7 linked regions of the Macaca fascicularis genome follow. The protein of the gene in region 1 interacts with the protein of each later gene in a pairwise test. Links are inferred from orthologs where the notes say so. Each region holds a gene or a part of one and is shown in the gene's direction. Other genes may lie near its edges.

What was found.
Region 2: the proteins of SIAH1 (region 1) and UPP2 interact in binary tests that used the Homo sapiens proteins (3 or more experiments, as listed by UniProt). The two-hybrid records come from large-scale screens. The link is inferred for Macaca fascicularis from reciprocal best matches to the Homo sapiens genes SIAH1 and UPP2.
Region 3: the proteins of SIAH1 (region 1) and RAD51AP1 interact in binary tests that used the Homo sapiens proteins (3 or more experiments, as listed by UniProt). The two-hybrid records come from large-scale screens. The link is inferred for Macaca fascicularis from reciprocal best matches to the Homo sapiens genes SIAH1 and RAD51AP1.
Region 4: the proteins of SIAH1 (region 1) and TMEM43 interact in binary tests that used the Homo sapiens proteins (3 or more experiments, as listed by UniProt). The two-hybrid records come from large-scale screens. The link is inferred for Macaca fascicularis from reciprocal best matches to the Homo sapiens genes SIAH1 and TMEM43.
Region 5: the proteins of SIAH1 (region 1) and KHDRBS3 interact in a two-hybrid assay, tested with the Homo sapiens proteins (3 studies listed by BioGRID and IntAct). The link is inferred for Macaca fascicularis from reciprocal best matches to the Homo sapiens genes SIAH1 and KHDRBS3.
Region 6: the proteins of SIAH1 (region 1) and ATN1 interact in a two-hybrid assay, tested with the Homo sapiens proteins (2 studies listed by BioGRID and IntAct). The link is inferred for Macaca fascicularis from reciprocal best matches to the Homo sapiens genes SIAH1 and ATN1.
Region 7: the proteins of SIAH1 (region 1) and INHA interact in binary tests that used the Homo sapiens proteins (3 or more experiments, as listed by UniProt). The two-hybrid records come from large-scale screens. The link is inferred for Macaca fascicularis from reciprocal best matches to the Homo sapiens genes SIAH1 and INHA.

What each region holds. Positions count from the first base shown.
Region 1 is NC_088394.1:44,266,633-44,269,517, reverse strand, and holds the end of SIAH1 (E3 ubiquitin-protein ligase SIAH1), read left to right. Parts: intron 1-460; coding exon 461-1,311; coding exon of another isoform or gene 1,312-1,414; 3' UTR 1,415-2,385; downstream 2,386-2,885. Other genes in the region: LONP2 (lon protease homolog 2, peroxisomal), read right to left, coding at 1,295-1,414. UniProt on the Homo sapiens protein: E3 ubiquitin-protein ligase that mediates ubiquitination and subsequent proteasomal degradation of target proteins.
Region 2 is NC_088386.1:53,595,542-53,599,041, forward strand, and holds part of UPP2 (uridine phosphorylase 2), read left to right. Parts: coding exon 1-114; intron 115-2,267; coding exon 2,268-2,414; intron 2,415-3,500. UniProt on the Homo sapiens protein: Catalyzes the reversible phosphorylytic cleavage of uridine to uracil and ribose-1-phosphate which can then be utilized as carbon and energy sources or in the rescue of pyrimidine bases for nucleotide synthesis.
Region 3 is NC_088385.1:5,402,313-5,405,812, forward strand, and holds part of RAD51AP1 (RAD51-associated protein 1), read left to right. Parts: intron 1-809; coding exon 810-860; intron 861-1,314; coding exon 1,315-1,424; intron 1,425-2,554; exon of another isoform or gene 2,555-2,573; intron 2,574-3,500. UniProt on the Homo sapiens protein: Structure-specific DNA-binding protein involved in DNA repair by promoting RAD51-mediated homologous recombination.
Region 4 is NC_088376.1:152,403,601-152,407,100, forward strand, and holds part of TMEM43 (transmembrane protein 43), read left to right. Parts: intron 1-1,054; coding exon 1,055-1,172; intron 1,173-3,454; coding exon 3,455-3,500. UniProt on the Homo sapiens protein: May have an important role in maintaining nuclear envelope structure by organizing protein complexes at the inner nuclear membrane. Required for retaining emerin at the inner nuclear membrane.
Region 5 is NC_088382.1:145,088,316-145,092,525, forward strand, and holds the start of KHDRBS3 (KH domain-containing, RNA-binding, signal transduction-associated protein 3), read left to right. Parts: upstream 1-1,410; 5' UTR 1,411-1,833; coding exon 1,834-1,921; exon of another isoform or gene 1,922-2,879; coding exon of another isoform or gene 2,880-2,886; intron 2,887-4,210. UniProt on the Homo sapiens protein: RNA-binding protein that plays a role in the regulation of alternative splicing and influences mRNA splice site selection and exon inclusion. Binds preferentially to the 5'-[AU]UAAA-3' motif in vitro.
Region 6 is NC_088385.1:7,870,146-7,874,107, forward strand, and holds the start of ATN1 (atrophin-1), read left to right. Parts: upstream 1-1,162; 5' UTR 1,163-1,324; coding exon 1,325-1,351; intron 1,352-1,476; exon of another isoform or gene 1,477-1,495; coding exon 1,496-1,633; exon of another isoform or gene 1,634-1,711; intron 1,712-1,782; coding exon 1,783-1,896; intron 1,897-2,847; coding exon 2,848-3,962. UniProt on the Homo sapiens protein: Transcriptional corepressor. Recruits NR2E1 to repress transcription. Promotes vascular smooth cell (VSMC) migration and orientation. Corepressor of MTG8 transcriptional repression.
Region 7 is NC_088386.1:115,506,176-115,508,726, forward strand, and holds the end of INHA (inhibin alpha chain), read left to right. Parts: intron 1-1,029; coding exon 1,030-1,862; 3' UTR 1,863-2,051; downstream 2,052-2,551. UniProt on the Homo sapiens protein: Inhibins and activins inhibit and activate, respectively, the secretion of follitropin by the pituitary gland.

The sequences.
Region 1 (2,885 bases):
TTTATCCAGGACTTCACCTGTAACTCCCTATACCTATCAATAGCTGACTCCAAATTAGAAAGAAATAAGAGTAAGGGAGTCTCAGGGAGAGAGTCCTAGCAAAACGGATTCGATTAAACTTCAGTTCCTTGTATAGTTTCTCTAGTTGTTTATGGTCCATCTTCTATTTTAGCATTTATTATTCCATGTAGTCTATCCAAAGACGATTAAGGGAGTTCCAAATGTTTTCCGGAATATTTTGAAAAGAGAGCTTATCCAGTGTACAGATCCTAATAAAGTGCACATTCAGTGTAATTTTATTTTTTAGTATGTTACTTTTTAAATTCTATTTATTTTTCTTTCTCTTTTGCTCAGTAAATTTTGCATGAAACTTTAAGTACTTCTGGCATGTAAACATTATTTGTAAAATAAGTCATGGTTATAATTATTTTTCTCCTGCCTCCTTATGTATTTATTTCAGAAATGAGCCGTCAGACTGCTACAGCATTACCTACCGGTACCTCGAAGTGTCCACCATCCCAGAGGGTACCTGCCCTGACTGGCACAACTGCATCCAACAATGACTTGGCGAGTCTTTTTGAGTGTCCAGTCTGCTTTGACTATGTGTTACCACCCATTCTTCAATGTCAGAGTGGCCATCTTGTTTGTAGCAACTGTCGCCCAAAGCTCACATGTTGTCCAACTTGCCGGGGCCCTTTGGGATCCATTCGCAACTTGGCTATGGAGAAAGTGGCTAATTCAGTACTTTTCCCCTGTAAATATGCCTCTTCTGGATGTGAAATAACTCTGCCACACACAGAAAAAGCAGACCACGAAGAGCTCTGTGAGTTTAGGCCTTATTCCTGTCCGTGCCCTGGTGCTTCCTGTAAATGGCAAGGCTCTTTGGATGCTGTAATGCCCCATCTGATGCATCAGCATAAGTCCATTACAACCCTACAGGGAGAGGATATAGTTTTCCTTGCTACAGACATTAATCTTCCTGGTGCTGTTGACTGGGTGATGATGCAGTCCTGTTTTGGCTTTCACTTCATGTTAGTCTTGGAGAAACAGGAAAAATACGATGGTCACCAGCAGTTCTTTGCAATTGTACAGCTGATAGGAACACGCAAGCAAGCTGAAAATTTTGCTTACCGACTTGAGCTAAATGGTCACAGGCGACGATTGACTTGGGAAGCGACTCCTCGATCTATTCATGAAGGAATTGCAACAGCCATTATGAATAGCGACTGCCTAGTCTTTGACACCAGCATTGCACAGCTTTTTGCAGAAAATGGCAATTTAGGCATCAATGTAACTATTTCCATGTGTTGAAATGGCAATCAAACATTTTCTGGCCAGTGTTTAAAACTTCAGTTTCACAGAAAATAAGGCACCCATCTGCCTGCCAACCTAAAATTCTTTTGGTAGGTGGAAGCTAGACACATGAAGGTAAATGAAAGGAAAGGCTGTTAAATACAGGAAACAGTTGCATGTAGTAACACTAATATATTTAAAAATAAGTCAACAGTAAACCACTGAAAAAATATATGTATATACACCCAAGATGGGCATCTTTTGTATTAAGAAAGGAAGCATTGTAAAATAATTCTGAGTTTTGTGTTTGTTGTAGATTGATTGTATTGTTGAAAAATAGTTATTTTGTTTTGTTTTTGCGTGGGAGTGTGTGCGTGCGTGGGTGTGTGCGTGTTTGGGTTTTTCTCCTTTAACTGACAAGCCATCTTGAGTGGTCATGGGCCACTGCTTTTCCCCTTTGTGAGTCAATACATAGTGCTGCTGTGTGCTTTTTTGTGTGTGTATTTGCTAATTTTTATTAATTTTAGTTTTTCATTAAATAAATTTGACTTTCCTTTCTGTAATTCAGGTTTTTCTTCACTTTTTTTGTACCATTTTAAAGTTAGTGTCTTTTGATATGCATACTTGTTATGGTAAAAGTTTGTAACATGTGTTCAATATTTTCTTTTCCCCCATTAATCAGTTCATTAGAAATATTTTAAAATCAGCTACTTTGTGAAGCTATGAGTTCCAGAAAGTAAAGGTGACATCGGAAAAATGATCAAAAGCTATTTAAAGCATCTGTAAGATGGTCTCTCTCTTTCTCTCTTCTACGGATGAGTCACACCTTTGAGCTTAATCTTTGAAAGGTTAGAGAATAAATTGATTTTTATAAGTACTGCAAATCAGGCTTTTGTTTCCTTTTTCAAATATCTTGGATAAATCACATGTTTAAAATTTGTTCTTGTATTTATTGGTTTTGCAAAAGAAGGCATCGTCATGCACAGTATTTGTAATTAAAAGCAAATCATTTGTTTAAAAAGGCAGTTTGCAAAAAAATGTTTTTGGTCTTTTATAATTCTCATTAAAAGAATTTCTGGCAAATTAAAAAAATCTTACTGTGTCTGCTTTAGCTCTAAGTTTGATAAAATCCAAAGTTATTTTCCTGTTTCATTCCGTACTTTAATTATATAGCAGAAAGCTGTGTGTTGTCATTTTTAAGTGTGGTAGAGTTATACTCTAAATCACAGCAAATAACTGGGTATATGGCTTCTGGATTACAGTCTTTCCCATGCTCTGCCCCTCTTGCCCACATTTTGATTCTTACAACTGTCAGGAGAATGACTAAAATGCTGACCACTTTTCACCTCTTTAAAAAAGCACAATGAAATAATAAATTTACTATTTCATAGCCTAGTGGTTAAGAGCCTTGGTTCTGCAGCCAGACTTCAGGCACCTAAGTGCCAGTCTCGGCTCTACCCCACTAACCAGCTGTGTGACCTTGGGCCCCAGTTTCCTAATGTGTAAAGTGGGGTTAAATTATGGTAGCTACTTAAAAAGTTTTAATGGGGTACAGGTATGTTACCTCAAACAGTGCTTTGTTCATATCAGCA
Region 2 (3,500 bases), on another chromosome or scaffold:
GAAGTACGGAACTTGACAAGGAACTATCTGAAGAACTGTTCAACTGTAGCAAAGAAATCCCCAACTTCCCAACCCTCATTGGACATACAATGTGTACCTATGATTTTTATGAAGGTGAGAACAGTTTATAAACTGGGAAGGCAACAGAAAAATGCCAGCAACTCTTTGTTATTCAAACCCATAATTTATATTAAAAGCTCTCCTTTAGAAAATTAATATTTGTGGATTAAAAAGGAACTGAAACAGCCTTTTTTTACTTACTAAAGCATAAAGACACAAGGACATAACGAGCAGCAGAGAAACACCCAGAATGAATTTCTATTGAGGGTGAATTTAATCCTCCAAGAACAAATTGAACACTAAAATGTAATTAGTGATGTTCACAAAATCTTATCTCTGTTGAATGCCTTTAACTTAGATTAGCATCTCTAAGAGAAGGGAAGTATACTGATTCTGTGTTTCTGCCATTCGTCTGTACCTTAAAAGGGATTCTGTCCCCAGGAAAGAGTGGGCCAGAAAATGGGGAGAAATGCTTGGGGAGGAGGTATAAATCCCACTGGATGGTGTGATCCGAGTGGGGTTTTGTCTCTCAGCCATGAATAAGGGGCCCCCAGACCGAGTTTAGAGACAAATGGAAGGTGACTGCTATGTAGCGGGCTTGCTACTAGAGATGAAAGGCCCAGGGGAAGAAACCTTCAAAGACAGACCCCCAACTTTTCTCGTCCCAGAAGAAAGAATCTACATAGAGTTGGTACCGTGCCTTGAAGGGCATTCTGAAAATCTGGCAGTATAGTTATATTCTTTTCAAAATCCATACTATTTCATTATAAATTATTTTTATTTTCCCTTTGGATCAAACTTAAAATACTATATTGGATTTTAAGAAATTATGTTTGGAGATAGGTCATATTATCTATACATTTTACTTCCAGTTAGTAAAGGTGGTTTTACCACATACTTGTTGTAAAATAGCAGGGCTGTTGGGGTCTGAAAGGGCTGAGACCCTCTGTTTAAGCCCACTGACTCACAGTCCCTCCATCCCGAGGGTCACTCACTGATATGTTAAGCAGAGTTTGCAAATGGCAGTTTGTTAAAGTCAATGTTTCCTTTGGCCTGCACAGCATTTTAAAAAATGTGAATTATTTTGCCAACATTTACAATATCTGGAAATGTTATATGAACATCCACATTTCTGGCTTTTTGAAAGAACTAACATTTAAAAATGTAGAATATATGCATGGCAGCCTTGGCAAGCCCTGACCCACATCTGGGGCTACGTTTGCTGAGGCGGGGGTGAGGCTGCTCCCCTCCGACCAGACACTTGCGTCGGCATTACCTGCGTGGCTCCTGCGAGGTCTTGTTTGAATCAGCTTAAATCGCACTCTGTCAGAGGTGTCGGCAGGCAGCTCTAATGAGAAGAGAAGGAACAAGGGGAAGCAGACTGCCGGGGTGAAGGTAGCATGAAAGAGTTAGAGGAAAGGGAGAAAAAGAGAGGAAAGAGCACCAAAAAGGGGATTGCGAAAATAATGGATGGCAACCGCGTGCTATTAGGCCATTTGCTTGAATCCAGGCCTTTTCAGGAGTGGGGAGGCATTAGAAGGTCTATTTCTGGGTGTGCACAGCGTACAGGAGGAGTAATGACATCAGACTTTCCTTTTCTTGCTTCTGCCTGCACTGGAGGATACAGGTGAAATTCAGTGACGAATGAATATTGGGAGCAGCCTGGAAAGGAAAACATGATCACAAGGGGTGGCATGCAGCCTGAGAGGTGTGCGGAAAGGCGGAAGGCGGACAGTGTCGCAAAGGGCATAAGGAGAGGCGCAATGTGCAAACACTGTCCTGATCCTCAAGTAGCTTAGTGTCTGGAAGCCTCTTTTTCTCTCCCAGCACCCGTCCCTGGGCCATTCCCCAGTCATTGGAGCAACCTGAGATTCTCTTCAAAGGGCAGCTCTCACAGCAACCCGCCACTTCCTGATTTGCCTGGGCACAGTGCTGGCTACCATAGCCACTCAGCAGTGACTGACCCCAGAATTGAGGCCCTCGGCCATGGACGCTCCTTCCTACATATGAGACTCCTGAGCCAGGGACAGCCTCGTTCCATGGTCCTCTGGTAGGAAGAGTCACACAGCTCAGTTTATCCTACATGGGAAGCACACTGCAGAGTTAGAGACAGCCGCGGAGGGCTCCAGCCAACAGCCAGCCTCTTGTGACGCCACTGACAGTGGGGTGGGACATCAAGTCACTAAACGTTCTCCCCTCCCTTTCAGGCCAAGGCCGACTAGATGGAGCACTGTGCTCCTTTTCCAGAGAAAAAAAGTTAGATTACTTGAAGAGAGCATATAAAGCTGGCGTCAGGAATATTGAAATGGAATCTACAGTGTTTACAGCCATGTGTGGACTCTGTGGTCTAAAAGGTAAGCTTTTCATGAATGCTTAGGGTCAAATTCTCCTCCTTCATGCAGCTACTTTTACACTTCCGGAGAAGAAAAAGGGGTCCAGCTATATATTACCTTGGGCTGAATGCATGACTTGTAATTGTATATAATATACATTATCTCATAATATCTTGTGAGTGGCCAGGACATTATTCCTATTATGCAAATAAGGAAACTAAACCTCAAGGGTCAAAATCAAGTTGCCCAAGGTCAACAGCTAGTTGGTGACATGTTCAGACTCGACAGCAAGTTCGGTTTCCTTCATCCTGGTAGTGGCTGGTAGTTTCTATTACAACTGAATTTATCGAGACAAGATACAAAAAGAAATTCCTAAAATAGTCCATCAGTCATAATTTTAAATAGCACGGTCAGGGAAGGATGGGAGGAGAATGTGCCACATGGCTATCTGGGGGAAGAGCATTCTGATCAATGCAAATCCAAGGCCACAGGCAGGAGGAGCACTCAGGGAGAACTGGAGGAAGAGGGAAGAGATCAGGAGGGGAGAGGCAGTGGTGGAGAATGGTAGGAGAGAGGGAAGGTACACAGATTGTATAGGACACTGTGAGAACTCTGGGTGAAATGGAGAGCTTTGAATAAAGAGGTGGCTGGATCTGACCTGTGTGTTAACAGAATCACGGTGGCTGCTGAGCTGGGAAGACCCGAATGGGGTGAAGGGTGGAGCAGGGAGAAGAACGAGAGGGCGAATGCAGTAGTCTAGTGAGAGTTGATGGACAAAGTGATAGCAGCGGAGGTAGTGAGAAGTAGTCAGATTGTAGAAACATTTTGAAGACAAACCCAGCAACATTTGCTGATGACTTGATGTAAATTTGGGGAGAAAGGCAGGAGTTAAAAGCGACTCCCATGTTTATGGCCTAAACTACTGGAAGCGTGAGGTTGTATAACTGGGATAGAAAAAATTGGGGTGAAGATGTTGGGGTAGTAGACATCAAAATGGAGGCCAAGCAAGCAGGTGAATTTATGAATCTGGAGTTTAGGTGGGTCGTTTGGACTGGAGACATAAAATTCTAAGTTGAGAGCATATAGATGGCATTTAAAGCTATGCAA
Region 3 (3,500 bases), on another chromosome or scaffold:
TGCTGATGGGAAAGTAAAATAGTGCAGCCAAATTGGAAAATGGTTTAGCAGTTCCTCAAAATGTTAAACATAGAGTTATATGACCCAGCCTATGTATGTATCCAAGAGAGATGCAAACATGCCCACACAACCTGTACATGAATGTTCTTAGCAACATTATTCATAATAGCTAAAAAAAAAAATGGAGGCTATCTAAATGTCTATCTGCTAATGAATGGATAAGTGAAATGTGGTATCCACAAAATGGAATATTTTTCAGCTATAGAAAGAAATGACTACTGATAACTGATATATACTGTAATATGGATGAACCTTGAAAACATCATTCTGAGTGAAAGAAGCCAGATATACAGGTCACATATTATACGATTTCATTTGCATGAAATGTCCAGAATAGGCAAATCCATAGAAACAGAAAGTAGATTCATGGCTGCTAGGAGCTGGGAGAGAGGTAAACAGGAAGGGAATGCTCATGGGTATGGTGTTTCTTTTTGGAGTAGTAAAGATGTTCTGAAATTAGGTAGTGATGGTAGTTTTACAACTCTGCGAATGTACTAAAAACTGCTGAATTGTTTACTTTAAAACTTTATGATCTGTGAATTATATCTTAAGAAAACTGTTCTAAAAATATAAATTGTTTAAGGTACGTCTCAGTGCTGCTTCTTTTATGGAACTTTTCCTTCTTTGATGTTTTTTTCCTCTTACACTCCATAGCACTTTTGACCAACTTGAATAGGACTTTATGATCTGCCTTTTGTAGTATAATTATTAGCCTGTCTTATTTCCCCACCCTCCTCCTTTAATTGCAGACTCCCTGAAGGTACTTTTAGTATTCCAGCTAGTGCAGTGCCTTGTACAAAGTAAGTGCTTGGTAAAATACTTGTTAAAGTCTGGATTGGGAAGAATAGATGTAAAAAAGTGATAATAATTTTAATTTAATGTGAGAGCTATAATATCTGCTAAAGGGGAGTGGGTGAGGTCAAGGAAGAGTTTTAAGCGGAAGTGATGTTTGAACCAAGTCTGTTTTGGGTTGAGTAGGTGTTTCCCACCTGGACACAGCTGGTAGGTGACACAACAGTCATTACAAAGAGGCACATGCTCCTCCTATTTCAAACATCTTATTCTGTATATAACGTGATACTGTGACATTTTAAGAGTCCCATCATCAAATATCTATTAATGATGATGATTGTTTAAAAACATTTTTGTGAGGTTAGCAACTCTTGGATAGTAATTTAGGGAAATCTCAAACTTTGCTCTTCAGTTGCGACTGATGTTTTGAAGAACTCATCATTACTTGTGTATCTATTTTAGGATGGCTTTAGATGACAAGCTCTACCAGAGAGACTTAGAAGTTGCACTAGCTTTATCAGTGAAGGAACTTCCAACAGTCACCACTAATGTGCAGAAGTCTCAAGATAAAAGTAACTTTATTTTCTGTATATTTAGCTTTAAAACCTTCTTAATGCTTTTGTAAGTATTTCTTTGGGTGGGCCTTCACAGAGGAAAGAGTAAAACGTGAATACTTTGTACTATAAATAGACCCATTTGCAGAGGATACAACTGGATTTAGTTCTTAATTCAGCTGCCTAAATCTCACACAAACAGATATACGTCTCTGCTTCATACCCAGAGTAAGCTTGAGGGTGTGGACTGTGAGCCTCATTGTTCACATCGCATGTTGTTGTACAGTGAACATTTAATTTCTTCATCAGATGGATTGATCTGTACAGTCCTAACAGTCCATCTCCTTTTTTTCCAGATCAGTTGAACATGCCCTAATTATGGTAATTTTTATTTCTTACAAAGGTCAAAGGTATTAATTTGGTTAGGAAGCTCAGTAGACTTAGAAGAATGGCTTCTGGATTTCTCTGTTGATTTTCTCGTTTGATTTTTCTGGCAACTATGCAGCAGATGATATATTAATATTCTAGAGGGGCAGAAATCATTATTCCTGAAAAAGATACTCTACTGCTAAAATGCTTTTTGGCTTAAAGTTTTTATGTGGGGGGATATTTTAGCTTATTATCTTATTCAGGGGTATACATGGGCTTTTTTTTCTTTGTTTTCTAAATGAGTACTCCTCCTTATTTAATTATTTGAGACAGGGTCTCGCTCTGTCATCCAGGCAGGAATACAGTTTCTTTTTTTTTTTTTTTTTTTTTGAGATGGAGTCTAGCTCTGTCGCCCAGGCTGGAGTGCAGTGGCGCGATCTTGGCTCACTGCAAGCTCTGCCGCCTCCCGGGTTAACCCCATTCTCCTGCCTCAGCTTCCCTCGAAGCTGGGACTACAGGCGCCTGTCACCACGCCGGGCTAATTTTTTTTTTTGTTTGTATTTTCAGTAGAGATGGGGTTTCACCATGTTCGCCAGCATGGTCTCGATCTCCTGACCTCGTGATCTGCCCGCCTCGGCCTCCCAAAATGCAGGGATTACAGGCATGAGCCACCACGCCCGGCCAGAATACAGTTTCTTGATCATGGCTTAATACAGTCTTGACCTCCTGGGCTCAAGCAATCCTCCTGCCTCAGCCTCCTGAGTAGCTGGGACTACAGGCATGTGCCGCCATGTCTGGGTAATTTTTTATTTTATCAAGAGGGGTCTCACTTTGTTGCCCATGCTGGCCTCAAACTCCCAGCCTCAAGCAATCCTCCTGCCTCAGCCTCCCAAAGTGCTGGGATTATAGGCAAGAGCCATCTTACCTGGCCACCTCCTCTTTAAAAAGAAATGAAAGTGGCAGAAGCTACATTTCTTTGAATATACTTTTTTCTTGTAAATTTGACTTTGAAACCATGTAAATATTTCCCACAATCATAAAGCAAAAATAAAATTTTAAATTCCTAAAAGAAGAAGAAGAAAAAAAAAGAAACGAAAGTTTGATTAGGAAGACTTGTAGTAACCAAGAATCAAAGAAACACCAAAAGAGAATTGTCATAAATTACATTTAAAATGGAGGCACTGAAATTCATCTCTCTCTTTTAAGACATTGTAGGATGTATAAGGGGACTTCCTTAGAAGTATTAATATTATACGACTTCTTATTAAATAATGCGCCTTGTGGCACTGGAATTTAATAGTACCACTATTAAGTCTTAAAGTCCTCTTAGAATGCTTTGGATCATCTTAAGCTTATTATAACGATTGAAGAGTTCTTATGTTACTAAAAACATGGATTTGCCTACACAGAATTGATAGTTAAAATTTATTGACCATTTCCTGTGCATGTCACAATAATAAGCAATTCCCATGTAAGATCCACGTTTGGTCTTCTGTAATACCACTTGGCAAGACACTGTTTTTATCTCCACGTTATAGATGAGGAAATTAAGTCTTAGGATAAGCAACTTGGCCATGGTCATATACCCATACCCAGTTTACATGGTACAGCCTGAATTTAAACATAAGTATGTTAAATTTCAGAGCCCAGACTTCTAACCATATGTTACCCTCTCTGAATAAAATTATTGTGCTAGTTTGAGTTTGGGATCATTTATCTATATCT
Region 4 (3,500 bases), on another chromosome or scaffold:
TCAAGGAAAGCCCTCTGAAGAAATGGGGTTCGAGCAAAGCTGGAAGACTATGTAAGAAGCTGGCCAGGCATGACTGCAGGCAATCGCTGTAGGCAGAGCAAACCCATGCACAGATACACAGAGGGGAGAGGACGCTCGACCTGAACTGGGAACAGCAGCCAGCGGGGTCAGGGCACCAGCAGCAGGGTTGGTGTTGGGGGGATGTGGCAGGGCTCTGGCAGGTGGCTGTGTGGAGAACACGGAGTGGGGTGATAGAAGCAGGGCCAGTAAGGCTCCTGCAGGCAGATGGTGGCGAGAGACTCGGGAATATGTGACCTGGACTGGATGAGGTGATGGGGGAGGAGCGGGCCATGTCTTTTCCCCTAGATGTGAGTGGGTGGGTGGGTGTGCCATGTGCTGAGATGGAGAAGGCACCAGTGTCAGTGCTGGACAGGCCGAGATGTCAAGTGGAAATGTCGAGGAGGTGGTGGGAGCCACAGGTTTGTGAGGCCCAGGAGAGGGCCAGAGCTCCAGCTTTAAATTGGAGGGTCACAGCGTATGGAGGCCAAGGAAGCAGATGGGATGTTCGGGGGGAAAGTATGGACTGAAGCAGCTAAAGAACTGCAGCGTCTTAACAGACAGGAAGAGGGACAGCGACAGCGATGGAGCCTGAGAAGGCGGGTGCGGTGTCCCAGGCCATCTGCAGAGGGTCCACGATTAAACAGATCACACACATAGCACGGAGCATGCTGCCCAGCAGGCACACTCAGACCTGCTCAGGGGTGGTGGGGAGGGTCCTGCTCATTCCAGGTGAGACTGTGGGCTGAGGGCTCCAGGTGCTGGCAGCCTCTGAGCTGAGGAGGGCCAGTACCTTCCAGAGATCTCATGCCTTGCCCTGTGCTCTGCCAGATGGGCAGAATGACTTAGCCCTATAGGAGGCTTGCCCCACCTCCCTCTGGCCTGTTCGGAAATGGCCAACAGCTCCCGAGTTGGTCCAGCCCCCTCAGCACCTGCCCTGCCGACTGGGTGCACCGCTGGCCCTCAGCATCCTGACCTGCCCCACCTTGTCCTGCAGGAGGTGTTTCATAGAGAACTAAGGAGCAACTCCATGAAGACCTGGGGCCTGCGGGCAGCTGGCTGGATGGCCATGTTCATGGGCCTCAACCTTATGACACGCATCCTCTACACCCTGGGTAGGTGTCAGGGTGGGTCACTGCCCTCCCTCCTGCACCCCCACTGGCCTCTGCCTGTCGCATCATCTCAGCCCTTCCGGCCTGATGGGATGGCCCCTGCACAGAGACCAAGCATTTGGCTCATCTCTGTATCTCCACTCCATAGCCTTGGGATGAGGGAGCAGAGGAAGGCAGGCTGAGGGCAGGAGCTGCCAGGGGCGAGGCTGGGTGGGGCTGACTCTGGGGCACTGGTCTCACTCCACAGCCTGAAGGTTCGTCCATCCCCTGGCTCGCTCATTTGCTCATTCCTTTGATCCACAATTGATACCACATGGGAGCCTGTCAGACCTGCATTTGAAATCTGTCACGTCCAAGCTCTGGGTGCTTGGCCATTCCCTTCCCACCTCAGCTTCAGTCACCTCACCCCTCACATGCAGAGTTTTATGAATGTGGCAAATAGGAAACACCCAAAACTATCATGCTTCCTTCCTCACTCTAAAACCTGGGCTAGATTTGGGCAGCCAGCAAGTCCGGAGCATGAAGGAGAGTTCTGGGCCGCTCCTTGGCCTGAGGTTGGCACCAGCGAGCTCAGTAGGAGTCCTGTGGCCCAGTGTGGTTCGGGATCTGAGTGCCCAGGGTGACTAAGTACGTTCTGGGCCCAGGAGGATGGGGTTCCTCAGAGGACTGTCCATCCAAGCCTTTCCCTGGTGTGTATCCCTTCCAGTCACATGTTTGGGTCACGCCTTTTCTGGGTGCCAACAGAAACCTCTTCCCCACTCAGGATGTACAAGTCAGAAGAGGTCTGGCTGCACATCTCGGGCTGTCTGAGCCGGGGGGACCACCTCCTTTGTTTACAGTTGGGAAAACAGGCTCGGGAAGGGAAGGACTCTTTCCTTGAGCCTTTCTTTGGACAGCTGAATTGTGCTCAGAAAGACTAGTGACATGGTGGGCACATTAGGGAGACATCAGCATTTAAGTGGAATCCTCTTTCTTGCCTATGTGACCTTGGGCAGACCAGTTCCCTTCTGGAGCCTTGGTTTCCTCGTGTCTGTCTCAGTGGGCCCTTCTTTGGATCTCTACGTCTGTGATCCCAATTCACTCTATGTCTGGAATGAGCCAGACTCAGGACAGACTTAGAGCATGGAGGGACCCCCAGGGTGGGTGGGGTGAGTCGCTAGTGCAGCAGGGAAGCGCACACTCCCCCATGCGTTTGATAAATACTGACCGCCACGTGTAAGACTCCACAGCGAGAGAGACAGACAAGGATTAGAGCAGCGGCTCACAGCCCAGGCTCTGGGCCCAGACAGTCTTGAGTTCAAATCCTGGTTCTGGCACTTTCTAACAGGAGGACTTGGGGTGAGTTTCTTAATTCCCTGAGCCTCAGTGACCCCGTGGGCAAAATGGAGTTAAGAAGAGTGCCTACCTTACGGGGTGGGCATGAGCGCTTCATGAGATGGTGCACGTGGTGTCTAACACATAGGCAACATTCAGAAACACGAACTTTGCTTATTATAAGGGCTGAGTAGCAGTGCTGTATGGGAACAGACCAGGATGAGGCCAGGTGGTGGCTTGCAGGGTGTGCTGCAGGTATGGTGGGCACCAGGGCTTGCTCTGCAAACCCAGTGATTCCAGACCACTGGTGGCCCGGGAACTGAGCAAAGATTCCCTGAGTGGACATCAGCTATGGAATGCCAACCTGGAGAGGTCATACAAGGCAAGAATAGGGTAATTACGAATTTAGCTGGATTCTGGGCTTTCTCCTATTGGACCAATAGTTTGTGAGATCCTTGAGGAGAGGCCAATGCTTAGGCTAATTTATTTCCTCTAGTACCTGCCGGTTCAGTGCTGGGCACATAAATAATCAGTAACATCCTGCTGCATGAATGAACCAACACCTCTAGGAATGGCTGAGAGGCCCAAATAGGCACAGGAGGCTCCATCCACAGCCTCTTGTATGAGTGTGCAGGACCCAGGGTATTTCCAGCATTACAGGCAAATGTCTTTATGCTGGCCTCAGACTACTCTCCACATATAGTATTAAAGTTTACAAAGCACTGCCACATCCTCTCCCCGGAGCAGGGTAGAGTGGGTGGCTCAATGTGCCCAGCCACGCAGCTCATAGCAGAGACTCCTGTGCTCCCTTAGCTCTCAGAACGAGGCTCCTTGCCTTCCACCCCACTGACCCGCTCCCCTCCTCACGCACGTAGCAACAGGGGCCCATCCTCACCTAGGGACAGGAGCGATCTGCTGAGCTGGTGAGGTGTAGAGTGGGTGGCACCTCATCACCTTTCTCCTTTCCACAGTGGACTGGTTTCCTGTCTTTCGAGACTTGGTCAACATTGGCCTGAA
Region 5 (4,210 bases), on another chromosome or scaffold:
AAAGGCACCTTACCCGGAGAGGGGAGGAGTGGGGCCTTGAGAGTGAGGGCAATTGAGTACTGGGGCTGGGACTTAGAGCTTCCAAGATTTCTACCACCTCCCACTCCCTTCGAGGTTTGTAAAGCCGCCTCCATTTGCACTGGGAGGGCGGGGGCTGCCTGGGGGAGTGTGGGGATTGTCCTCAGGCCATTGGCTGAAAGTGGCATGCCACTGACTTACTCCTCCAAGAGACATTTCCAGTACCCTCCATCCCTGCCCCCTGTATGACACGCTGGGGACGTTCCCCCTCAAAAACAAAACTCAAGCTCTGTCCCTGATGTTCATGGTCTACTGAAAACAGAATTACAGCTGACTGTGAATGACCTCTGACCGAACTGGGGGGGACACAGAGAAGTGACTTGCTTTGCCAGGGAGGTCCTGATAGGCTGTCCAGGGAAGGTGACATTGAGGCTGGGACTTGAGCTGGGTGTTTGAAGGCAGGAAAAACGTCAGGGCAAGGACTGAAGTCCTTGGCCTTCCTGGGGGACGTTTATTCCACATGCCTCGGGAAATATGAAATGGCCTGGGAGCGCATTTGCTGGGGGTTGGGGGTGGGCGGAAGGGGACAGAGGGCATTGCCACCGACAGGCGGGGCGTCCCAGGGCCTCTCCCCGGGAGCGGATGAGCTCAGACGCGGCTCACTCAGCTGTGTCCAGGCACAGCCGGTTTATGACCTAAGAGAATGACAACCCAGGAGCAAGTCGGGATGACAAAGACGCCCAGAAGGACACGCGCTTTTATGTAACAGACCTCTGAGCTGGCGGATCGCAGGAGGTTGGCCCTCTGAGCTCAGGAGAGGAGAAAGTACGGCGCCCCTGCCTTACTCTCTTGTAAATACGAGGGGACAGCAACGCGACATAACTTAAAGAAGTCCACGGAGCTTTAGAGAGCAGGACGGTCCCGCTGCTTTTCCTCAGAGCGCGGCTGGGGCGAACTGGGGCGCCCTTCCCAGCTCCAGCTCGACCCTTGTCCCCTCTTCCCAGGATCACTCGCTGGGTGACCTTGGGCGAGCCACTTGACCTCTCTGAGCCCCAGTTTCCCAGTCCGTGCATCTGGAAGGCTGTAAGAGGGTCGTGGGGCTCCCCACTCGACCCTCAGGGCCAAAGGTGGGCGCCAGGCACGCGGGAGAGGCCCTTGAAGCACCCCTTCTCGCAGACGCCCGGTTAGTCCCGACGGGCGCGCAGCCGAGAGCGGCCCCAGGAGGCGGCGCGCGGTGGGGCGGTGGGCGCCAGTGCGCAGGCGCGGGGCGGCGGGGCGGGGCCGGGCGGGGCGGGGCCGGGCGGGGCGGGGCGGGGCCGGGCGGGGCCGGGCGGGGCGGGGCCGGGAGGGGCGGGGCCAGCGGCAGGCGCTGGGCGCTCGGCGCGGCGGCTCAGAGTGCGCGGGGAGGCGCGCGGCGTGTAGGTTGCAGCTGTGGCTCGGGCGCTGGCAGGTGCTGGCGGGACTGGCGGGGATCGCCGTGGACTGCCTCAGGGGCGCCGAGCGCGCCGCCAGCCCGACCCGAGGGCCTGCCTAACCGCGCCGCCCGCGCCCGCTCCTCCTTGGCCCGCGCCCGGAGCGCGGGGGCCGCCGGCGCTGGGCACTCGGCGGCCACCGGGGATCGGGGCTCAGCGGCCGGTTCCCGCCCCCGTGCCGCCGCCGCCGCCGCCTCCTCCCAGCCGACTGCCCGGCTTGGCCGCAGCCGCCGCGTCTGGCCCCCGGGTCCGCGCCGCTGGGGGCGCGGGCGGAGTCGGGGGTTGCCTGGCGCCGCCGCCCGTGCGCCTGGAGTCCACGTCCCGGGCCCGGCGGCCGGCGAGCATGGAGGAGAAGTACCTACCCGAGCTGATGGCGGAGAAGGACTCCCTGGACCCCTCCTTCACGCACGCCCTGCGCCTGGTGAACCAAGGTGAGGCGCCGGCCGTTAACTGCCGGCCGGCGGCGGTTGGGGGCCGGGTGGAAACGCGGGGGCCCGGGGGGCGCCTCCGTGCGCTCTGCTGTTAGCGGACGCGGCGGAGACGGAGGCCCGAATGGCCCCCGGGGGCGTTTGCACGGGGACCTGGGAGGCTGTGGGACACCTAGGGGAAGACCCCGATGTGAATTTTGGGGACTCGGAAAGGAAGGAGAAGGCTGGGGCGCGTGGGTGAGACTTGAAGGAAATCTTTGGGGACTCGGAGACACCCAGGGGAAACTTCTGGGTAGGGGACAGCGACCATCTGGGGGCTTTGTTGGGGACGAGGTTGAATTATCTCATGGGAGGGGAGCGTGTTAGACTCGGGGAAGTAGGGTGTTTGGATTGTCTGAGGTACTGGAGAAAAAGCTGGAGGAAAATGGAAGGACTTGAGGGACTGAAATGCAGAAGAGGCGAAGGGAACAGGTGCTTGGATTGTTAGCGAAGTTTGGGGACCTTGGAAGAGGGTTGGGGTCAGACCCCAGCACCTGAGAGGAGAGGAGCTCCGTGGTCCCAGGGGAGGAGCCCAGTTCACCCTCCCAGCCCTTTGTCTCTCCTGTGCCCAGGCTCCAGCAGCCCTGGCGGGGCAGTCAGCCCTCCCCGGGGTGGGGTGGGCAGCCCATGCCAAGCCTTGCAGGCTGGCCCTTGGAGAAGTCAGTAGGGGAGAGGAGGCCGGCAAAAGAGCACCCTTCTGGGGGGCGTTGGGTTGGGTGGCCCTCATTGGTGGCTGGCTTGAGGTTTGGAACGGTGGTGAAGGGAGTCCTTGCCGTTTTCACACGACTCTAGCCAGCTCAGGGTATGAAGGGTCCTAGGAAGTACTGCCGGACAGGGATACAGGGGTATCTGGAGGCACGCCTACCCGGGACCCTGTTCCCCTGGCTTTCTCCTCCTGTGGCTTCCTGAATCATCTGCTGGGATGCACGGTAAATTAAGCCTTCCTTCCCGGGAGCAGTCTCCTACTTTTCCTGGAATATGTATTTCAGATGAAGATGGGTGTGGGGGCAATTGGTCTGTCTTTTCTCTGGGAAATGGCAGCAACATGATCTGGTCAGATCTGTTACCTTTTGCAGGAATTACTGTGCACTGATAGTCCGTGGTTCCCTGGATGAATCGGATCTGCTGCTCTCAGTGCTCGCCCTGGCTCTTTTATTGTTGGAAGTGAAAGATGAGGCAGACATATTCTATTTGTATATAGATACCTATATTTTAAAACAGTGACCTCCACTATTTGCCTGTTTCAGCCAGTTCTTCAGAGTAGGGTGTGTGTGTAGTCGACCGATGGTGGTAGAGAGACTCTTACGGTCTCCAAGAATTTAAGAATATTTGAATTGATGAACAGAAATAGGCTTATGGAGCTCCCCCATTTTATTTTAATTGCAGGCTCATTTTTATTTCTTTAATAAAATGGGCTTGTGAAAAAGTAATGGGCATGCATTACTAAAGAAAAGAAAAGAATTTCCTAAGTTTGATTTCTGTGCCCTCTGAACAGTTCTGCAGTTGAGTTTGTACTCCTTGCGCCTGATGATTTACATGTATCTTTTATCGCCTGCTGGGCTGTCGTCTCTGTGAAAGAAATTTCTTTGTACATTGCATGAGATCCGTGGAATTGGAAATATTCTGGACTGTGGACTCAAGTGCATTTTTCCTAATAGAGAGGCCGAATCAAAGTTAGGTTGTACTTAATTAAGGAACAGTTAAACTAAAAGTGTAGTGTGTTATCTTATTTTTAAAAGTCAGAATGATTTTCTCTGCCATGTTGCCATAGTATTGTGTTGCTAAAACGTCCAAAATTCTTTTGGATTCTGTGTTTTTACTAGTGTTAATGGCTTCCAGTTACTTGAAGCAGATATTTACTGGGGATATGTTGCCATTTAGTGTTTTTTAGATGTTAAACTTGATAAACTTACTTTTCGTAAAAGTAATTCTTGTAAGAAGTATATTTCTCACACGTGAAGGAAGGAGGAGGTGCTGCTCAGAAGCTTGTCTTACTGTTAGATTACTTCAGACTGAAACATTTTTCTCTTAAATCACAGGCTGATACTCAGAATGCAAAGCTTTATCACTTAAAACATTAATTACACTCTTACGTAGGTCCAAAATTACAAGTGTTTTAAATCTGAAGCTACATGATTGTGAGGAAGCTTTGATTTTAAATCCAACCATCTTGTTATGGGCTATATGAAAGCGTTTTTTCTTAATTTCGTTGTATTTGTGTTTGCCTCTAATGCAACTGTGTTTTCAGCAGTT
Region 6 (3,962 bases), on another chromosome or scaffold:
TGCTCACGGATATTTTGAGTCTTTAATCATTCATGTGAAAACCCTGACTTTTCCTCTAGCCTTAGGGAGCTCAAGTACTAGAGAATGAGTCCTTTATGAGGCTCTCAAAAGTGAACTTCTACAATTTGGGGCTACCTAGGTTTAGTCTTGGGATTGGTAGGGCTGTGTTCCTTTGTATTATAGAATGGGACATTCTTCTTCTACCTACTCTGATGTGAGAAAAGATTCTTTTCATATCTCTGTGACTGATCTAGGCCTTCTGAGAATTCTCCCCACCAACTTCTGAGGAGAATATAGCAAAGTATAGAAGAAAGAGCATGGGCTTTGAAGTCACAGACGTGGGTTTGATTCTGGCTCTGTCACTGGTTCCTCACTGTGTGAGGTTGAGCTAGTCACAATCACCATCTTTGAGCCTCAGTTCCCTCACCTATATAATGAAGGTAATAATGCTTACCATTCAGGGTTGGTTGTAAATATTAAATGAAATCATGTGTGTGAAGGGCTTGATATAAAGAAGGTACTCAATAAATTAATACTTGAACGTCATTTTTTTTTTGAGACAGAGTTTCACTCTGTCACCCAGGCTGGAGTGCAGTGGCATGATCTCGGCTCACTGCAACCTCTGCTTCCCAGGTTCAAGTGATTTGCTTGCCTCAGCCTCCTGAGTAGCTGGGATTACAGGCACGCGCCACCACGCCTGGCTGGGTTTCACCATGTTGGCCAGGCTGGTCTTGAACTCCTGACCTTGCGATCCGTCCACCTCGGCCTCCCAAAGGGCTGGGATTATAGGCGTGAACCACCATGCCCCGCTCCATTTCTTTATGTTCCTTTGCAAGGCTCCGTGGAATGTGTGCGTTCACAAATATCCTTTAGGGATCATGAAGGGTCAAACTGTGTCATCTCCTGGATTGGAGCTTGTAGGTACATCTGAATTTTCTGCCCTCTACAGAGGTGAAAGAGATTATACTTTAAGCAGAATCTCCCTGCCTTTTAGATAGCTAAGGTGGCCCATGGGGCAAGCCAGCAATGTCTTGTGGTATCTGTACCTCTTGGCCTAAAGGCTTAGGGTTGGGCCGCTTGCTCAGTTCTCTGACAAGCGTAATAGTATTCCTTTGTGACTCTATTCTCCCAGTGGGAGACTCTGATGGTTTCCTTCTAACAGGTTTCACTGAAAACAGATCCTGCAAAAGTTCCAGGTGCCTATACTGGAAACTTGGAGATCCTGCTTCCCAGACCACAGCTGTGGGGAACTTGGGGTGGAGCAGAGAAGTTTCTGTATTCAGCTGCCCAGGCAGAGGAGAATGGGGTCTCCACAGCCTGAAGAATGAAGACACGACAGAATAAAGACTCGGTGAGTTAAAATGAGAGATGTGAAAGATGAGGGGCGGGGCAGGCAAGCTAGGAGGAAGGGTCTAGAGAAGAACAAATAATGTGCACCATAAAGTTAGCTGCAGTGTAAAGAACAGTGTTACCTACCTCCTTCCTCCTCCTGCAGATGTCAATGAGGAGTGGACGGAAGAAAGAGGCCCCTGGGCCCCGGGAAGAACTGAGATCGAGGGGCCGGGCCTCCCCTGGAGGGGTCAGCACGTCCAGCAGTGATGGCAAAGCTGAGAAGTCCAGGCAGACAGCCAAGGTATTCTGTCCTCAGGTCCTCCCACAGGATGCCCAGGCACTGGGGCTGAGGGGGTGTGTGTGTTGTCGGGGGAACTTCCTGTTTGGCAGAGGGTAACGGTGAAACTTGGGAGGTAGGGAAAAGACAGGAATTTTCTTTCTCTCTAACAGAAGGCCCGAGTAGAGGAAGCCTCCACCCCAAAGGTCAACAAGCAGGGTCGGAGTGAGGAGATCTCAGAGAGTGAAAGTGAGGAGACCAATGCACCAAAAAAGACCAAAACTGAGGTGGGAGACCCTTGTCGCCATCCTGACCCATCTTGTGATCATTCTTTTCTCAGATTTCCTTATGCTCACTATTCTTAGCTGGATCTCTCCTGGGACATAAGAGAAAGGCCAGATCATAGTGCTTATGAGAGCAGTTCTGTCTCTAATATGCCAGAGAGAGTCTTAGAACTTTGACAGACCACCAGATGACCTGGCAGGGCCAAAGGGGACCAGAAGAGTTGGGGGATTCTAGTCTCTGGGTGAGAAGTCTTAGTGGGAGGAACAAATAAATCTTAAGGAAAATGCAGAAGTGGTCTTTCTTTTTTATTGTTTTTTTTGGTTTGTTTTTGAGACAGAGTTTCGTTCTGTCACCCAGGCTGGAGTACAGTGGCACAATCTCAGCTCATTGCAACCTCCGCCTCCTGGGTTGAAGCAGTTGTGCCTCAGCCTCCCGAGTAGCTGGGATTATAGGCATGAGCCACCACGCCCGGCTAATTTTTGTAGTTTTAGTAGAGATAGGGTTTCACCATGTTGGCCAGGCTGGTTTGGAACTCCTGGCCTCAAGTGATCCTCCTGCTTCAGCCTCCCAAAGTGCTGGGATTACAGGTGTGAGCCTCTGTGCCCGGCCAGAAGTGGTCTAAGAACCAAGGGCTTGGGGGATGGAGGATGGTTAAAGTGGTGGTTATGAGATGGTGGAAGACAGGGATTTGGAGTCAGCTGTGGGTAAAGACAAGGTGCTTGAGATGGATCCTTGAGGAAGGAATAGGGTTTTATAGGAGAGAAACAAGACTGGCTGCTAAGGAGCAGCCAAGAATGTGGGGAAAGTGGGAAATCCCCAGATGGCAAGAGGTACTCACCACGTCACAGTACAACAGTGTGCTGTGAGGGGAAATGATTTTATGCAAGACAGGCCCTAAATCTCAGGGAAGCAGGAAAGGAAAAGAGAAAAAATGAGGCTTCCCTTTTCTACAGCAGGAACTCCCTCGGCCACAGTCTCCCTCTGATCTGGATAGCTTGGATGGGCGGAGCCTTAATGATGATGGCAGCAGCGACCCTAGGGATATTGACCAGGACAACCGAAGCACGTCCCCCAGCATCTACAGCCCTGGAAGTGTGGAGAATGACTCCGACTCATCTTCTGGCCTGTCCCAGGGCCCAGCCCGCCCCTACCACCCACCTCCACTCTTTCCTCCTTCCCCTCCACCGCCAGACAGCACCCCTCGACAGCCAGAGGCTAGCTTTGAACCCCATCCTTCTGTGACACCCACTGGATATCATGCTCCCATGGAGCCCCCCACATCTCGAATGTTCCAGGCTCCTCCTGGGGCCCCTCCCCCTCACCCACAGCTCTATCCTGGGGGCGCTGGTGGAGGAGTTTTGTCTGGACCCCCAATGGGTCCCAAGGGGGGAGGGGCTGCCTCATCAGTGGGGGGCCCTAATGGGGGTAAGCAGCACCCCCCACCCACTACTCCCATTTCAGTATCAAGCTCTGGGGCTAGCGGTGCTCCCCCAGCTAAGCCACCTAACACTCCGGTGGGTGGTGGGAACCTGCCTTCTGCTCCACCACCAGCCAACTTCCCCCATGTGACCCCGAACCTGCCTCCCCCACCTGCCCTGAGACCCCTCAACAATGCCTCAGCCTCTCCCCCTGGCCTGGGGGCCCAACCACTACCTGGGCATCTGCCCTCTCCCCATGCCATGGGGCAGGGTATGGGTGGACTTCCTCCTGGCCCAGAGAAGGGCCCGACTCTGGCTCCTTCACCCCACTCTCTGCCTCCTGCTTCCTCTTCTGCCCCAGCACCCCCCATGAGGTTTCCTTATTCATCCTCTAGTAGTAGCTCTGCAGCAGCCTCCTCTTCCAGTTCTTCCTCCTCTTCCTCTGCCTCCCCCTACCCAGCTTCCCAGGCATTGCCCAGTTACCCCCACTCTTTCCCTCCCCCAACAAGCCTCTCTGTCTCCAATCAGCCCCCCAAGTATACTCAGCCTTCTCTCCCATCCCAGGCTGTGTGGAGCCAGGGTCCCCCACCACCTCCTCCCTATGGCCGCCTCTTAGCCAACAGCAATGCCCATCCAGGCCCCTTCCCGCC
Region 7 (2,551 bases), on another chromosome or scaffold:
TATAAAGAGTAATATGGGCCGGGCGCGGTGGCTCACACCTGTAATCCCAGCACTTTGGGAGGCCAAGGCAGGAGGATCACAAGGTCAGGAGATCGAGACTATCCTGGCTAACATGGTGAAACCCCGTCTCTACTAAAAATACAGAAAATGAGCCAGGCATGGTGGCACCAGCTACTCGCGAGGCTGAGGCAGGAGAATTGCTTGAACCCGGGAGGCAGAGCGGGAGGCGGAGGTTGCAGTGAGCCGAGATGGTGCCACTGCACTCCAGCCTGGGCCACAGAGCTAGACTCCATCTCAAAAAAAATAAAAAAATAAAAAAAGTAATACGGCTGGGTGTGATAGCTCACACCTATAATCCCAGCACTTTGGAAGGCGAAGGCAGGCAGATTGCTTGAGCTCAGGAGTTTGAGATCAGCCTGGGCAACATAGTGAGATCCTGTCTCTACAAAAAACACAAAAGTTAGCTGGGTGTGGTGGCACACGCCTGTGGTCTCTTAGGAGGCTGAGGTGGGAGGATTGCTTGAGCCCAGGAGGTAGAGGCTGCAGTGAGCCGTGATCATGCCACTGCACTCCAGCCTGGGTGACAGAGTAAGACTCTCTCTCAAAAAAAAAGAAAAAAAAAAAACAGTAACATAACAACCATCCATGTAGACACCACTCAGGATACTGTTTAACACCGTCTGGTGAGTAAGCATTGAAGTCTAATACCAATTCTTAGTGCTGGTGAAGTGGAGAGAGACAGGACCTCTTACACACTGCTGATGGGCATGTTAATTGGTAAAACCACTTCAGAGAGAAGTTGGCAATGTCTTCTGTTTTTTAAAGTCCTTTCATGATGAAATTTAAAAATGGGGAGCCTACAGAAGCTCTCCCCAAACTCAGGAGAGTCCCCACATCCTGGAGGGCATGGAGCAGAGTGCAGCCTATCATTGGCTCATGACTGGCGGCCACATCCCTTCTGCTGAAGAGGAGGGGTACCAGGCCCTGCCAGTCAGGGCTGCCCTCTCCCTTTTCTTCTGTCTCCTGCAGGTGCCAGCTGTGAGGACAAGCCAACTGCCGGAGGGCTGGCCCAGGAGGCTGAGGAGGGCCTCTTTACATACATGTTCCGGCCATCCCAGCACACACGCAGCCGCCAAGTGACTTCAGCCCACCTGTGGTTCCACACTGGGCTGGACAGGCAGGGCACAGCAGCCTCCAATAGCTCTGAGCCCCTGCTAGGCCTGCTGGCACTGTCACCGGCAGGACCTGTGGCTGTGCCCATGTCTTTGGGCCATGCCCCCCCTCGCTGGGCCGTGCTGCACCTGGCCACCTCCGCTCTCTCACTGCTGACCCACCCCGTCCTGGTGCTGCTGCTGCGCTGTCCCCTCTGTACCTGCTCAGCCCAGCCTGAGGCCACGCCCTTCCTGGTGGCCCACACTCGGACCAGACCACCCAGTGGAGGGGAGAGAGCCCGACGCTCAACTCCCCCGATGTCCTGGCCTTGGTCTCCCTCTGCTCTGCGCCTGCTGCAGAGGCCTCCGGAGGAACCAGCTGCCCACGCCAACTGCCACAGAGTAGCACTGAACATCTCCTTCCAGGAGCTGGGCTGGGAACGGTGGATCGTGTACCCTCCCAGTTTTATCTTCCACTACTGCCATGGTGGTTGTGGGCTGCACATCCCACCAAACCTGCCCCTTCCAGTCCCTGGGGCTCCCCCTACCCCAGCCCAGCCCCCTTCCTTGCTGCCAGGGGCCCAGCCCTGCTGTGCTGCTCTCCCAGGGACCATGAGGCCCCTACATGTCCGCACCACCTCGGATGGAGGATACTCTTTCAAGTATGAAACAGTGCCCAACCTTCTCACGCAACACTGTGCTTGTATCTAAGGGGTCTAAGGGGGGTGGGTCTTCTTTCTTAATCCCATGGCTGGTGGCTAAGCCCCCACCATCATCAGCTGGGAGGAAAGGCAGAGTTGGGAAATAGATGGCTTCCACTCCTCCCTCCTTTCACTTCTCTGCCTATGGGTTACCCTCCCCATCCCACTTCTGTCTCAATAAAGAACACAGTGCATACAACTTGGCATACGTTCTCCAGCTTCTCCGACATGGAGTTGGGCCCCCAGGAGCATGGGACTGTGAGATCCCAGGTCACTCAGCCACACTTGACCCTGGAGACATGAAGTTCAAGAGCTATAACTGGATGTGTATCGGTCGGGAATCTACGATGCTTGGGGATGGCACAATAGTGCTCCAAGCTCCTTGGAGAGCCACCCTGGAGACAGAGCTGGACTCGTGCAAGCTGAACCAGACATGTCAATCAGGGTGCCTTCCCTGCACACCTAAGGGAGACTGCTGCACTCACGTGCCCACATCCAAGGCAGCCATAAGTCCCATAAGTCCCCTCCCCTGCCATTCTTTGCCCCAGCTGATGGGCACTTAGCCCAAGGTCAGGTGATTTGTAGCCTGGTCAGAGATTGTGACCTTTGGAGCCACACTGAGACAATTGTCCAGAGTTGGCCAGATCTTGGAGTCACTTGGGAAGCTCGGGTGGGATGTAAGGGAGAGATATATGTGTT